Linked DNA regions of Arabidopsis thaliana. The protein of the gene in region 4 interacts with the protein of the main gene of each other region in a pairwise test. Each region holds a gene or a part of one and is shown on either strand. Other genes may lie near its edges. The genes, in order: AT1G15710, AT3G13940, EMB2816 and AT3G15420.

What was found.
Region 1: the proteins of AT3G15420 (region 4) and AT1G15710 interact in a two-hybrid assay, tested with the Arabidopsis thaliana proteins (one large-scale study listed by BioGRID).
Region 2: the proteins of AT3G15420 (region 4) and AT3G13940 interact in a two-hybrid assay, tested with the Arabidopsis thaliana proteins (one large-scale study listed by BioGRID).
Region 3: the proteins of AT3G15420 (region 4) and EMB2816 interact in a two-hybrid assay, tested with the Arabidopsis thaliana proteins (one large-scale study listed by BioGRID).

The regions. Positions count from the first base shown.
Region 1 is NC_003070.9:5,402,305-5,406,460, reverse strand, and holds AT1G15710 (prephenate dehydrogenase family protein), read right to left. Parts: upstream 2,332-4,156; 5' UTR 1,957-2,331; coding exon 880-1,956; 3' UTR 551-879; downstream 1-550. Other genes in the region: TRFL5 (TRF-like 5), read right to left, coding at 1-323; ATPC2 (ATPase, F1 complex, gamma subunit protein), read left to right, coding at 2,672-3,832. UniProt on the Arabidopsis thaliana protein: Involved in the biosynthesis of tyrosine. Has a weak prephenate dehydrogenase activity.
Region 2 is NC_003074.8:4,599,901-4,604,227, forward strand, and holds AT3G13940 (DNA binding / DNA-directed RNA polymerase), read right to left. Parts: upstream 2,683-4,327; 5' UTR 2,513-2,682; coding exon 2,051-2,512; intron 1,917-2,050; coding exon 1,779-1,916; intron 1,633-1,778; coding exon 1,318-1,632; intron 1,161-1,317; coding exon 747-1,160; 3' UTR 522-746; downstream 1-521. Other genes in the region: AT3G13930 (Dihydrolipoamide acetyltransferase, long form protein), read left to right, coding at 1-89, 173-243; AT3G13950 (ankyrin), read left to right, coding at 4,249-4,327.
Region 3 is NC_003071.7:1,178,354-1,182,072, reverse strand, and holds EMB2816 (Small nuclear ribonucleoprotein family protein), read right to left. Parts: upstream 2,103-3,719; 5' UTR 1,949-2,102; intron 1,857-1,948; exon of another isoform or gene 1,815-1,856; 5' UTR 1,768-1,814; coding exon 1,765-1,767; intron 1,680-1,764; coding exon 1,598-1,679; intron 1,496-1,597; coding exon 1,424-1,495; intron 1,107-1,423; coding exon 1,054-1,106; intron 907-1,053; coding exon 817-906; 3' UTR 561-816; downstream 1-560. Other genes in the region: REME1 (Pentatricopeptide repeat (PPR) superfamily protein), read right to left, coding at 1-513. UniProt on the Arabidopsis thaliana protein: Component of LSM protein complexes, which are involved in RNA processing. Component of the cytoplasmic LSM1-LSM7 complex which is involved in mRNA degradation by promoting decapping and leading to accurate 5'-3' mRNA decay.
Region 4 is NC_003074.8:5,207,075-5,210,252, forward strand, and holds AT3G15420 (Transcription factor TFIIIC, tau55-related protein), read right to left. Parts: upstream 1,436-3,178; 5' UTR 1,216-1,435; coding exon 1,132-1,215; intron 1,057-1,131; coding exon 1,006-1,056; intron 926-1,005; coding exon 874-925; intron 767-873; coding exon 630-766; 3' UTR 501-629; downstream 1-500. Other genes in the region: AT3G15410 (Leucine-rich repeat (LRR) family protein), read left to right, coding at 1-42, 130-205; AT3G15430 (Regulator of chromosome condensation (RCC1) family protein), read left to right, coding at 2,334-2,672, 2,800-3,009, 3,095-3,178.

The DNA.
Region 1 (4,156 bases), on a different chromosome or scaffold from region 4:
TCCGAAGCATTCACTGGCCACATAAACCTAAGCGTGCATTCCACAGCAGTCCAGCAATACGCAGATTTGAGAGATCCCATGATAACCGAATGTTCCTGTAACAGAAGCTTCTCAAGAATTTCGAGGAGATCAAGCATTCCTTCGTCTACGGTACCTTGAATCATGGAATTGGAGATATCCCGCAAAACAGCAGTTAGCTTGAGTTTTACACAGTCGTCGGAATCTACTGGTTTCAGAGCCGATAACAGTGGAAAAGCGTAAACCCTAGGATTTAGTTGGCGTCGGAGGAAAAATTCAGCTACCCATTTGTCCATCACTTCCATTTCCAAGACTTTGCAAGTAAAAGATGCGAAAACCCGCGATCAGTTTTCGCCGTCGGTGCGTGGTTAGGGTTACAATTTTGGGAAGAGGAAAAGCTCCGACCAACTATGGTGGCAACAACACACGTGTGAATCATTCAAATTTAAAATGTGTTTTTTTCTTTTAATTAAATAAGACGAGACATTCAAGCGGCCCATTATATAATCGGCCCATAACGAAACGATGTTGTCCTGATCCGAATCGGGTGGGTGACCCGAGATCATTGGAGACAGAGAAAAACAGTAATGACTTTTGAGCAATACAATGTTGATCCAATACAAATATGGCCGGAGAAGGAGACAATTTGTCCGTATTTGTTTCCGGCGACCAGAGGGATAAGCATTTCCACAGATACATTTAGAGAAAAAAAGACAAGTTTATTGATACCAAGCCAAAAGAGACCCCAACATACATATGAACACACCAAAATCCCTTTTTTATTTTCCACTCTTGACGTTTTCCAAAAAAGTCACAACTTTTTATTTTTGAATCTAGCATAATCCAATCAAACTTGTGATCTTAAGATGATGATGATGATGATGATGATGATGATGATATATCATTCATAGGAACAACACCACCATCATTGAGCAATTTCTGCTCAGTTTTCTTGGGCGATTGAACCTCCCCACCAAACATTTGCTTCCTGTATTGCTGATGTAATCTCCCAAACAGCTCCTTCTTAACAGACTCAAAAGCCATATCCAATCTCTCCAACTGTTCAAGAGCATTCGGATTATACATAAACAAACCGTAGAAAAGCTCAAAGCTATCACTCGATGTGTTCTCCACCAAATCCAACAACGTCTCATAACCTTTGGTGTTAATCGGCGAAGACTCAACTCCATATTTCTCCAAAACCCTTCCCATAGTATGCGTCACGAATTGCGATCCAGCTGCGTAATAATCATGCTTCTCACAGCTCATTTCAACCATCTTGCAACCTTCATTCTCAAAAATTCTTAGAAACTTCTCACACCTCTCTTGTCTTGAAGCTGCGTCTCCGATTCTCACCTTATCGTAGACAAAGGGCAAGCCAGACCAAGAATGCTTACCACTCTCAGGTCCAAACATTGGATGAGTACAGAGAATGTCAAACTCCTTAGGAAGGTATTTAATGAAGAGGGCTTTTGGGAATTCCTTAACGGAGAGAACATCGACGAAGAGTGTGCTACGACGGAGACGTTGGAAAGGGAATGATCTGAGGACTGATTCTGTGGAGAGGATTGAGGTACAGAGGAGGACAACGTCGGGATGTTGTTCACAGAGATCGTGAGGGTTATCGAAGAAACGAGCTCCGATTGAGTTTGCGGCGTCGGAGTAATCGGAGCGGGAGTGAGTGATTAGATCGTGGCCGTGTCGAATTAGGGTTTTGGAGAGGAATTGGCCGAAATTGCCGAAACCCAAGACGGCGATTTTGAGAGCAGAGGATTTGCGGTACTCGGATTTGAGTTGGGTTTCGTAATCGAAGATTTGGGCGGCGTCGATTGCTCGAATTCGAAGAGATCGCGGCGGGGAAATGAGGAATGTGGGTGAATTGCGGCGGAGATTGGGTGGAGAAATGAGGGGTTTCGCCGGAGAGAAATGGAGTAGCATTGTGAGTAGTGTTGATTGAGTTTTAGCTCCAAAGTTGGGAGCTTAGAGAAATCTGTGAGAATAGAAGAGGAAGAAGCGGTTGCGCCAAAGGAGGAAGAAGATGCGAGCGAGCCTCAAAAATAAACGGATCAATTTTATGTCGTGGCCTAAACGTGGTGATGCTGATTGACCCAAGAAAAACAAAATGCTAAATACACAACAACACAAGGACCATAATGGAAATAAAAAATTGAGGTCAAAATTAAAAGTCGTTCCAAGGAAATTTGTAGGTACTGTTTTGTATTCATTTGTATTTAGTAACCCGCATTTACAATATTTCTTTTTCTGAAGGACTAGAGTTTTTATTTGTCCATAATTTTATTTTGATTTGTTACTTTAAAGTTCAATCTCTTCCTATATATGAATCTTTAAAAAGAAAATTTCGTAATTTTCATATGCTGACTATAGTTGTTGTTTTTTGGTTTTCTATTAATTTGGCTATTTGTAGTAATTTTTATTAGGATTTAGGAGGGTTATTGATATTTCCCTCGTTTTTCTCATAGAAAAAAAAAAACAAAAACTCTAATTTTGACTTTTGTAGTAATTTTTATATACTGACCCCTAATAAACATGATAATTACAGAAAACCCCTCAAGTTCTCTTTCTTTGCTCATTTCTTCACGAGAAGATGAAATCTTAAACCTCTCAAGTTCAGGGTCTTCTTTCCCAAACGAAAATGACAGGTTCGATCTCGACCTCTTGGCTCTTGTCGTCTCCTTCGAATTCGAATTCGGCTTCGAGCTCAGAGTCCTACTCTTTCATAGCTACCTTGAAACCAGTTCGTTATTATCCGTTTCAATCACTGACACCAAACCGGATTTCGTCGAGATCTCCGTTGCCCTCAATTCAAATTCGAGCTGGAATCCGAGAGTTACGAGAACGAATCGACAGTGTGAAGAATACCCAGAAGATAACGGAAGCGATGAGACTCGTGGCGGCAGCTAGAGTTCGTCGAGCTCAAGATGCAGTCATAAAGGGTAGACCTTTCACTGAAACTCTTGTGGAGATTCTCTACTCAATTAACCAATCTGCTCAATTAGAAGACATTGATTTTCCTCTGAGCATTGTTAGACCCGTGAAGAGAGTTGCTTTGGTTGTTGTTACTGGCGATAAAGGATTGTGTGGTGGTTTCAACAATGCAGTGACCAAGAAAGCTACTCTGCGAGTTCAAGAGTTGAAGCAGAGAGGAATAGACTGTGTTGTGATAAGTGTAGGTAAGAAAGGGAATGCTTATTTTAGTCGGAGAGATGAATTTGATGTTGATAAATGTATTGAAGGAGGAGGTGTTTTCCCAACGACTAAAGAAGCTCAAGTTATTGCAGATGATGTGTTTTCCTTGTTTGTCAGTGAAGAGGTTGATAAAGTTGAGCTTGTTTACACAAAGTTTGTGTCTTTGGTGAAATCTGATCCTGTGATCCACACTCTGTTGCCTTTGTCGATGAAAGGAGAGTCTTGTGATGTGAAAGGTGAGTGTGTTGATGCTATCGAGGATGAGATGTTTAGGCTAACGAGCAAAGATGGGAAGTTAGCTGTGGAAAGGACCAAGCTTGAAGTTGAGAAGCCTGAGATCTCACCGTTGATGCAGTTTGAGCAAGACCCTGTTCAGATTCTTGATGCAATGATGCCTTTGTATCTCAACAGTCAGATTCTAAGAGCACTGCAGGAATCTTTAGCGAGTGAGCTTGCGTCGAGGATGAATGCGATGAGTAATGCGACTGATAATGCGGTTGAATTGAAGAAGAATCTGACGATGGCTTATAACCGAGCGAGACAGGCTAAGATCACTGGGGAGTTGCTGGAGATTGTGGCTGGAGCAGAAGCTCTTCGAGAGTCTTAGGTAGAAACTACAGCTGTGTAAAATCATTTGTTGTTTGTGGTAATAAATGTCATGAAAGAATTTACAGATCATGAGAAATTGAGAATCGTTTACACCTAACGCCGACAAAAGACTAACAGTAACAATAAATTCCAATTATGTCTCGAAGAAGACAACCAATTTAGGAAATATAAGCAGCAGAAAGTAACGGCTAAAACAAGTCTCGACCGAATACTTGGTGGATTTCTAAATTCTAAACAGAACAAAAAGAAAACAGAAAGACAGAGAGTGAGAGAAAGAAACATCATTTGGTTGGTTCTTTAAATGAGCCTCATCAACAAAAAA
Region 2 (4,327 bases), 610 kb from region 4:
GAGAGTTGTTCCCGGTACTGGTCCAGACCAATACAACGTTGCTTCATACATGTCTGTAACACTAAGCTGTGACCACCGCGTAATAGATGGTACAGAATCCGCCTCTCATTCCTATTGTCATTATTAATCATCACCTCATCGAAAACGTCTAATAAGTCATCTTCCTGTGCAGGTGCAATTGGAGCCGAGTGGCTGAAAGCATTCAAGGGCTACATCGAGACCCCAGAATCTATGTTGCTCTAAAATTCAGACGCACACACACATCAAAAGCTAAACTCATAAGAGTCTTCTGACCTCAAATTTCTTTCCCACAACATATTCTACCAGATTTGATCAGCAGTAGGCAATGGCCTTTAAAGTTGAGTGTTTTGCTATTCTTTAAATCATTGAGTTGACAGATTTTTGTCTCAAAATAAAATCAGGAATCCAACAATTTCACTGTGCACTTGTTTTTTGGCTTAATGCTTGTTCATCATGGGTTGGCAAAATAAAACCCATTTACTTAATTTTATTAATCAACTCCAATAAATATCTCTTTCTTCTAATAAAATGTCACTTAGTTCACTATCATGGACTTAGAGCAGTTTGCTTGCTTAAATGCCAAAACATCATATATCATTAAACCCAAGAAACAGATGTCTTAGGAACTAAAACAATTTATAATATCTCAACAGACCGTCAAAGAAATATCATTAAAATAGCAGAAAATATGTAAAGATAGAACAAAATCTTCTCCTAGATCGTCATCACTTTCGTGCCCTGCGCCTCCGGTTAACCTCCGGGAAATTGAGAGGGGTCGGTAAGGTAGCAACCGTAGTAGAATTCTGCTTCAGGAATTTGCAGCCAAGCTGTAGAAAATGTTTCCTCAGCTCAACTGTGCTTATCCTCAGATCTTTTGCTATGTCTTCTGGATCGGTCATGAAATTATCCACGTGAAGGGATAGCACAAGAACGTAGCTTATCAGAAGGTTGATCTTGTCAACAGGTATCCTATCTGATTCAGAATCCTTGAACATGCTGTTGAATTTTTGACGGAAGATGTCTGGCATCTTGTGGTCTTTAGCGGAATCGTAACCATTCATTGAGTTTCTGTCCTTGAACTTAACCAGATGGGTGAGAAGCGTTGCAGCACCACAAACCGTCTGCTTTTTCATATCGTCCTGCATATGTAACAAAATGACATACATACATAAAGAATCTTCTGAGCAGTAGATAAAACCATGAGAAGTTCAGAATCCATTTAATCAGAGCAAACCGCGAAAGTGGTGCAAGCTAACATAAAATATTTTGCATCCAAGAAAATAGTCATAATTTTACCTTGATATCTCGCAATCTGTACAATCTGTTGCGGACAAATACAGGGTAAGCCTCAGTTGCTGCTTCAGTTTCCTGTTGCAGAAGCCAGTAAATATCTTCAAGAAAACTCCAATCCCCCTTTTCAATGATCTTTTCTAAGGGATAAGCTTCATTTGCAGTCGTTGCAGCGGTATTGTAAGGAGGAATGTTGCGTGCAACAGTAGAACTGGTGCCTTCAAGAGCAGCTGTGTTAACACCTAACTCACTTAGTTTCCCATCAAGGACCTTCTGAGTCGCAGCATCATCTCCCATATATAAGGCACGCTTCTTCTTATCCTGCATAGAGACACACATTCTCACTCAGACATATAATCCTCCCAACGAATCTCACGACAATCAGTTCTCTACTAGTCTGGATACCAATAAGACAGATACTGTAGGAAACAGTAGAATTGGTGTTTTCAGATGCTGTAGTAACATACCCGAGTAACAGCTTTTTTTGTATTATAACGATCGCGTTCTCCTGTTTTTAGTTCTTCAAGTTCTTTGACGACAGCACTTCCTGAAGCTTCTTCCTCATTTGTTTCTTGAGCTTTAACTCTAGGCTCCAATCTGATTATCTACAAGTAACACAAAACCAAACTCAAACTCTCAAAAATCATTTCTTTTCTATTCACAACCATACACTCAAAACATTCCAACTAATTCAAACCAATTAATCACCAAAATCAAAACAAGGTAACAGAATTTAAACCTTATTGTGAGCAACAGGAAGAATCCTCAAAGTTTTAGCCTCTCTATTAAAAACACCAACTCTATAAGTATTCGTCTGCATAGCAGCTTGCTCGCCTGTGTAATTAGTTCCGACGAACTCAACTCTTGCGCCTGGAGGACTTACAACAACCTGAATCCTCTTCTTAGAATCATCCTTATGCTTGTAAACAGTAACCTTGGGAGTTTCATGAACTCTCTTGCCTGTTTTTGGATCTACTTTACAAGGATCGTATCCTGTAGAGAAATAGGCGACGATCGGAGAGATTCTATCGGGTCTCTCGGCGACTTGCGTGACTTTGAGAGTAACTCTCTTGTCTTCTTCGTTTTCATCCTCTGTTTCCGTTGCTATTTTTTTCCCTTTCCTTTGCTTCTTTTGTAGTTGTTGTGGTGTATTGAAATCTTCTTCCTCGTTTCTATAATCATTCTTCTCTTCGCCTTCCATGGCTACTGAGGTTTGGATTCTTTTAGTCTATCGAAGAAGCGGCAGCGATTCAGAGAAGGGTTTACTGGAAACTCACTAAATGCTTAAACCCTAATTTGGTTATGTTTCGGGAATTTATTACATAACAGACCCTTGTTGTTTGTCCGAGTCGATAAAGAAATCTTCACAGTTTTTTTTTTTGACCCCAAACTTTTAATTTGTTTAGAAAGATCTACACCGTTATAACGACGTCTACGGACTACGGAATCTAAACCCTGGCTTTTTCTCTTAGCTAAAACGACACGTAGTTCGCCTGAAACTTAGAAAACAAACACACGCTGTTTGCAAAGATCCCAATTTACATTGATCTACCTCCAAAGTATCTAAACTCTTCTTTAAAGCTTTGGCCACATAACCTTCTTTTAAGTTTTTTTTAACTATGGATTCTATTATCTTCTAATTTTTTCATCATTTCTAGACCAAGTTTCTATGCTGGAACAAATGTAAAATTTTGATCCAAGTACACCAAATTCTTAGTTCGTTTTTAATATAGATATTTCAGGTTAAGTGTATATTGGACTGATATCATCACAACTAGTTTTCACTTTTGACAGTGGACTACTATCGGATCGGTTATTCTTTGATTAGGGTTCTTTAACACGTTCTCTCTCTTTTTTTCGAGTCCAAAATAAAGTCTTGTCGTCCAACTAGCTAGCGTAGGATTTGGTGAACTTGGATACATATATTTTTATTCGTCGTCAAACTTACCTAGCAACAAAACAAGTAATGCTGTACTATTTTATTTTATTTTGATAATCACCTGATCACCTTACCCAGATACATATTTAAGCTGACGTATCAAATATTTGTGTAATATTATATGAGTAACATTTGCAGGTATGTATATCTAATAAAAAATTTAAGAAAAGAGTAAATCGTGGTGTGTGATGTTGATGTACGACCACAGTTTTCTTATGCCACTTACAACTTTTGTAATAGTTGAACATAAAAGAGCTAGCGTTGTGGATAGATAGATGAAAATTAATCTATACAATCGATTAATTAACATTGCCAATATTCAACCACTAGATCATGACTCTGTTACTTGTTAGTAGCTTAATTTATCATTATGTTGAAGATTTTATATGTACTAATGTCACTGTTCACTGTTGCGCAATTAATTAATGTTCTAGTTTTTTTCTCCGCAATTAACTAATGTTCAACTTCAACTTAATTTTGGTTTGTTGAATGGTATGCAACGACTGTTCTTTATCCGCTATATATCTTTATCTTTTTATACCACAAGTCGTATAAGTCATTAGATACAATGACAAGATGACAAATGTAGTACTATGAAAGAAAAGACACGTTGAAAGAAGAGTGACACAAATGAGAGATATGATCTCCCAGAGTCAAATTTGAGGTCTTGCGATTCTCCTATAAACCTCAAAAACTCTATTTAGTTAGAAATATATAAAAAATAACGACGACGCTTCTTCCCTAATGTCGCTATCGTTGACTGACTTGATCAGAATCATATAGTTCTCAAAGAGTAGGTTTTTAATTCCCGTACGTGATCAACAAACAAATGGTTTCAAATTAGACTTTTGCTGATCAAACCAGAAATTTCTATCTCCCTTTCCTTTTTTAAAAAGACTCGTTCTTTTTTTTCCTTTATAATCTCGACAAAGAGAGAAGTTACATATATAAATTTTAAGAATTATAACTCTTTTGTAAAGCATTCATCGCTTCAAATCATGGAGATCAACGGTCAAGAAGGTCATCGATACGAAGAATCATCATCAGAGTGGTTCGTAAAGTATCTAAAACGTCAAG
Region 3 (3,719 bases), on a different chromosome or scaffold from region 4:
AGATCTCAAAACAGAAGAGTAAGTATACACATTAGGCCTCACATTATCTCTCAACATCAAAACCAAAAGCTCCAAAGCCTTTTGATGAATCTTACACTTAGAATAAGCAGAAATCATCGTAGTCCAAGAAATAACATTCCTTTGAGGCATTTGATCGAACAGTTGGTGAGCATCATTCAAAAGATTGAATTTTACATACATATTGATCAGAACATTAACCAGAAACATCATTGGTCGATGACCATTGAAGTATAAATGACGACAAATGAGATTCCCTTCATGAACAGCTCTATTAGATATACAACACTTGATAAGCTCAGAATAAGTTGCAGAGTCTGCCCAAAGACCATGACTTTGCAATGAATCCATTGCTTTCATAGCTCTGGGAAGGTCTCTCTGGTAACAGAGTCTGGTAAATTCGCTAAGAAGAAGAGTTTGATCTGTGGAGCTGTAAGAACAACGTAACGTGACGACTGGTCTAAAAAGTTTGATCTTTGACATTACTGACTTCATCGTCTCCACTAAAACTATGGAAACAACTTCAAAAATTTCAAATCACTCGCTTATAAATCCATGGTTCAGTAACGAGAAGACTCAGACATTCGATTTTTCCGGTTTACTTCAGTTCTGGTTAAGGAGATTTTGTGCTTTGGCACAACGAGATTTGAGAACGAAGTTAGGTAAGTGTCCATGATGTTCCAAATTGTTTAAATTGAACATATATGTTTCCAACATCACACCAGAGAGTTAGATGAAATACTCTCTAAATCGCCAAGTTAAACTAATAGAGAGACATATTCTTTGAGAAGAAAGTCTTTAGACAGCCTCTGCAGTAACGAACGGGTTAGCGATTTCTTCGGTGCCATCGGTTGGTGAGACAAGCATCACCGCTGTTCCACGGCAAACCTAAAAACAAGACAAACCATCATGATTTAGCATCTAAACTATGGAACTCCATTACAAATAACACGATGCTAGAAGAAACAATGATATTATTTGCACTAAACAGGATTACACTTATAGTAATGAAAAAAGAAGGTAAATGAATCATACAATCAAACCAAGGCGTCTTGTCTGATCCGTAGTCTTCAAAGGATCATCATGATCTGATCAAAACATAACACAAGGGTCATAAAACTGAGTTAGATCTATGGAAATATGATCCCACTTCTAGTTTCAAAATCTAGCTAAGAGAATGAAATCATCCCATTCATATCACCAACATAACATGATTAAGCAATCAAACAGTCTCTTCTAATCAAAATTTCCATATATCTTCCAATGGCATCATGGAGACATCTGTATGAACCAGAGTAATAAACTTCATAGCAATACAGAGATTCGTTTACTAAGAGGCGGATTCCACTAGAGAATTGTAGCCTAACAAGATCAATGCAGTAGATATAGGTAAGATAAAAGATACCTCGAACGAACTCGACTGCTTCATCAAGAACAAGATTAAGCAATTGGTCATAGCCTTTAAGAGTTCCAGTCACTGCAAGCAAAAAACATAGCAACTATCAAACAAATCTCAGAGAAAACATTAGAAAGAATCATCATCTTTGGAGCATAATGAGAGAAACACTTGTTTTATTACCTTGTCTACCACCAGTGAGCTTAACTTGCACACCCTTATCTACAAACTTGGCCAAATCTAAAACCGTTTCTTTTCTTCCAGACTGTGAATAACAAACACTCGCTTAAGAATTAACTCGACTCATATAACAATGATACTTTGCTACTTCAATTTAGGTTAAACTTTACCATGTTAGAGCAGAGTCTTCGACAATTCCCTAAACAAAAACCCTAAAGATCTGCAAAAAACGGAAATCAAATTGGTTCAGAATAGAGTTGATGATTAAAAATTAGGGTTTGCAATTCTTTGGCCCCAAGTGGATTCGGAAAATGTGTGAATTCGGAAATCAACAAGTGGATGAAGAAACCTCACCGGAAAAGCAAAGATCAAAGTGACGGCGTGGAGAGTTAACCCAGAAACTCAGGCGAAGCAATCGGAGAATCTCACAAGGAGTCGCGTGAAATCAGAGTCAGTCAAATAGTCGCAGCTTCCTAGTGACGCTTTTTGTTTTTTAACTCTGATCTCGTAAAGGACTCTGGTTTAAATCCCTAACCATGGTTACCATATTATTTGAACTGAACCGTAAATTGAACCATAAACCGATAACTAAACATTAAATTGTTAACTAAACCCGAAATAAAATTGGAAGGGGATATTAGTTAGGAATTAATAAAATCGTAATACAATTGTTCAGTTAGCTAAGAAGAATAAACATCATCTGAATAGAAATTACAATAAAGACAACTAAATTTAGCATTGTCATTATACTCCTTACTTTTAATCTAATAAAATAGATGTTTAAAAAACAAGATAACTGGTAAACACAAAGCAAATTTACCACAACGGCACAACCTATTAAAAACAATTACTAACAAATTTAACCAAAAATAAAATTAAAACGAAACATAAGTTTGATCCACCTCTAATTCTGAGCAACGCTTTTAAAATTTAACTATGAACTTGTGAAGTACTTGTAAGTCGTAAAGTAAATCATTTGGTAAAATCTCTTAACCATCTATCGACACAAAACTCCAAAAAAGAAATTTTTGATTCTTTTACGAAAAATGCACACACATTTATAAACTCGCAAATAGTAAATATCTCTGTTAAAAAGATTTGAATAACTTGACCTAGCAAAATTTCAGGTATTCAACGGCCGAATCGAAATTTAAATAACACCAAATCGAGTAAAATTAAGAGATATTAGAGCCGTAAAAAAAAGATGAATAAAGATTCAAACGTGTTGTTGACCTTAATTTAGACTAAAAAAAAAATCTAAACCGAAATCTCAATCATTAACGAAGAAAGAATCACTTTATTCATGAATCAAAACCAAAAGACTTATAATTACATGTGAATTCGAAAATTTCTTCTATGTCATCTTCAAATCTTCTACATTTGATCCTCATCACTTTATAAAGTTCTTTGCAGACCAGTTTGACTCTAAGACTCTTAATCTCTCCTCTATTGCTTGGATTGGTCATCGTAGCCTGAGTGAGACTTCATTTGTGCGTATTCCAACGAGACGATGTAACTTCCAAAGATTGTCATTGTCTTACTTAATCCAACGCTGATAAAGTAAATACAAAATAGATAACTAAAAATGAGTCAACTTTATTTTGTAAAAGCTCCACATACATCCGTTTGAACTCAGTCGGGTCAAATCGGCCTGAAAATGCTTTTCTACTAAAACCATTTATCTTCAGCATTGACGGATATCACATTTTATAAATAATATAATAGATTTTTTTCTCAAAATTAGTAACTAATATTATCATGAATAAGTTATCAATCAAAAGTTTTATCATATGTCATGATTTCAAAAGTTTTTAGTCAACGTTGATAGATCATCTTTATATATAAAGGGTTTTAGTCAATGTGATATATTTTTCATTCAAATAATTTTTAATCAATAATATTAGTGGTGAAAAACACAATAAACAGTAAAAATAAATATATTTTACTTTTGAAAGATAATTTCTACTTACAACGTCATTATTTATTATTTTTACTGAATTTAATTTTAGTTATAAAAAAATAAATTCGTCCATCGGACGGATCCTTATCTAGTTAGAATATATAGTCATGTATATATATGTAGATATCATAATATAGTTTGTATAATTGTATATTTTGGGTTTGT
Region 4 (3,178 bases):
TACACTTGAGGTTCTACGACTTGACGGGAACCCATTAAGAAGGTATAAATGATAAACACTGATACATTAATAAACACAAGAACTTTCCAGATCGATTGATTTTCTTTTTCACCAACGTTCTTAAAACAGTATCAGGAGGCCAATTCTAGAAAGAGGAACAAAAGCTGTGTTGAACTACCTGAAAGACAGACTTCCAGATCAGTAGCTTCTACAACATTAACATCAACACCTATGTTGTTGTTTGTAAGATTTGTGTGAACACCAGATTGATTTTATTGATGAGAAATGCGTGTGTCCCTTGTCTAAGATATTTTCACTTTTGTTGGTGTGTAATCCAGTACGTCTGGTTCTGTGATATGTACTACAAGTCTATAAACTCCAATGGCCTCAACAGGAGAATTTTTTTGTAACAAATTGGTTTCTTCTTTTTGTTTCTGCATTTTTCATTGTCGAATGCTAATTTATAACTTAAACTTTAAGAATCTTTTGAAGTTTGGCAATAAGCAAGTCCAAAAAAATCTTTTAACATGAAATGAGAATTATCATTCCTAATCATTTAAAAAAATTTGTAACCTTTCTACACATACCCATAACTCAGCTCTCCAATGACTTAAACAAGGGAAAAACTATTACAAATTGTTTGTTTTTGTTTCTCCATCATCATTGTCTAATGCTGCTAATCTAAACTTAAGAATCTTGTGGAGTTTTGCAACAGGTTCAATTATCTTCTTATGTGGCATCTGGTTTTCACTTGCTGAAACTTCTTCTGCAAAACCAAAATAAAAGTAAAGAAACCTCAAAAATCAGCTTCAGTAAAAACATCAAGGGACAAAAGAAGTACGTGAACCAATAAAGATGAAAAGTGAAACTAACCCTTTTCAGAGAAAGCAAGGCATGTACCAATCGTTTCAATATATTCTCCAACCTGAGAGATCATCAAATCTAACACGATTAAGAATGGTTTAAGCAAAAGAGTTACTCAAACTCAAGTTATAGAAAACTCACCAGCTTGATTTTGCCATCAATGGTCAACACCGGATTCAAAGTATCCAAACCCTGAGAAATAATAAACAAAAGTCAAAACAAAACCAATGCAAAGAGTTTAACTAAAGAATATGGATTTGAACTAACTGATAAAGTATAAGGAGCATCTGATGGAATCTCAATGTGCCTTGAAACTTCATCAAGATCAATCATAACAAATTCCTCCTCCATCTATCTATCTCTATCTTTTCCGTTGAATCTTTCGAGAAAATACGAAAACCTTAAGTGATGGAAACTGAAGAACAAGCCTGATTAAGAGTAAGAGGAAGATGAAGATTCGTGTCAATCGATTCTCTGCTTCTTCTTCTTCTTCTTCGTCTGTCTAAAAATTGCTCTGTTACGAGAGACTCACTTTTGGGCCCATTACTATAACCTAAAGCCCAAAATATGGAGGGCCGATTCTTCATCTTCTCACTTCTTTTTCTTCCACGTGTCAAGCACGGAAACTACATCCAATCTCAGACCGTAAAACTAAACCGGAGGATTTTGTGAAGCCGGAGAACCGGAAATAGTTATGCAAATAACCAAGTTACCAATTTAATTTGAACATAAACCAAGCAAAAGTAGTGGTGAAGCAGAAAACACATAAAACTCTCAGCTAAAGCAATAAAACAGAGTACATTCAAGAGCCGACGACTAAGTAAGCCTCAAAAGATTCTGCAAACAGAGAGGAACAATCGCCACGAAAGAAGCTTAAGAGGCAAGATATTGAATTTTCCCCTAATTTTCTATTCGTCCTCACACGTCTTTCACCATTCTCTTATATAAAAAAGTTCTTTTTAGACTTTTTGGTTTCATTTGTTTAGTGGGCAACCAAAAAGTCAAGACCTTTTGCTTTCCAGGTAAGGATCTATCACCACTAACCTCTTTTCTTCTTCTCGATTCCTCGTTCCCTATTTTCGATTTCAATTGTACGTTTTTCAATCGAAAGTTTTCTCCTTTTTGAGGGATTTGTTTAGTTTGATTGATTGTGGATTGTTCTGTTCTTCGTTGCAGTTCGAAGAATCTGGCGTGTTCAGGTGGATTGATTCTTGCGATCTGACCCTTCTCATGATTAGTTTCCGATCTTCGAATAGACCAACTGCGAGATTCTCATCTATAACTCCGTTTTCCTATTCGATTTCTTATCTCTTTCTACCATCCAACGTGTTCTTCATACATTACTTCAATTGCTCTCGATTTCGCCTCAAAATCTGATCCTCTAGTAGCTTGAAGCAACCCAAAGTCTCGTCCTTTACGTTCAATTAGGTCATTTTGAAACCCTGTTCTTAGAATTAGGAAGGGAAGAAATGGCTGATCGAAACTGTTTGATTTCGTTCGAGGATCTTCCTTCTCATTTGATCTTGGAGGTGTTGACCTCTGGGAGGCTTAGTGCGGTTGATCTACTTAGCTTGGAATTGACTTCTAAGGTTTTCGGAGGGAGCCATGGATTCTATCCTTTGAAATTCAGATCATTAGCTGATTATGCGGCGTCTCAGCTTTGCTCTATGCACCCTGTCTACGTGGGAATGGGTTTGACTACACAGAAAGAGCTCTTTGCCAATTGTGAGGGAAACTGGAAGCGGCTTTTTAGTTTCTTGCAGTCAGTTGAGCAATCCTCAGATATGGTTGAAACCTCTCAAGGCAAAGTATGCTTTCTGTCATTTCATATAGTCAGTAGTTTTAGGTAGTTCAGTGAAGTTGCTATGGAGAAAGTTGATTCTTGGTTAATTTGGTTTAGAAGTCTCAGATGCATTTCTTTTATTTTTTCTGCAGATGCAAATTGCAACAGGAAAGTATCACACTTTGCTAATCAACAACTCAAAGGTTTATTCTTGTGGTGTAAGTTTGTCCGGTGTTCTTGCTCATGGCTCTGAAACTACTCAGTGTGTAGCATTTACACCTATAGAGTTTCCGTTCCCTGCTCAAGTGGCTCAAGTCTCAGCCACACAGAACCATTCTGCTTTCGTATTGCAATCTGGACAGGTTGGTAGCTTCTGTTTCACTTAAAACCTATCCTGTGAGTATATTGTCGTTTGCCATAATCACTCATATTTGAAATCCGGCACAGGTTCTCACTTGTGGGGATAATTCATCGCATTGCTGTGGTCATTTAGATACTAGCCGTCCAATATTTAGGCCTAAGCTTGTTGAG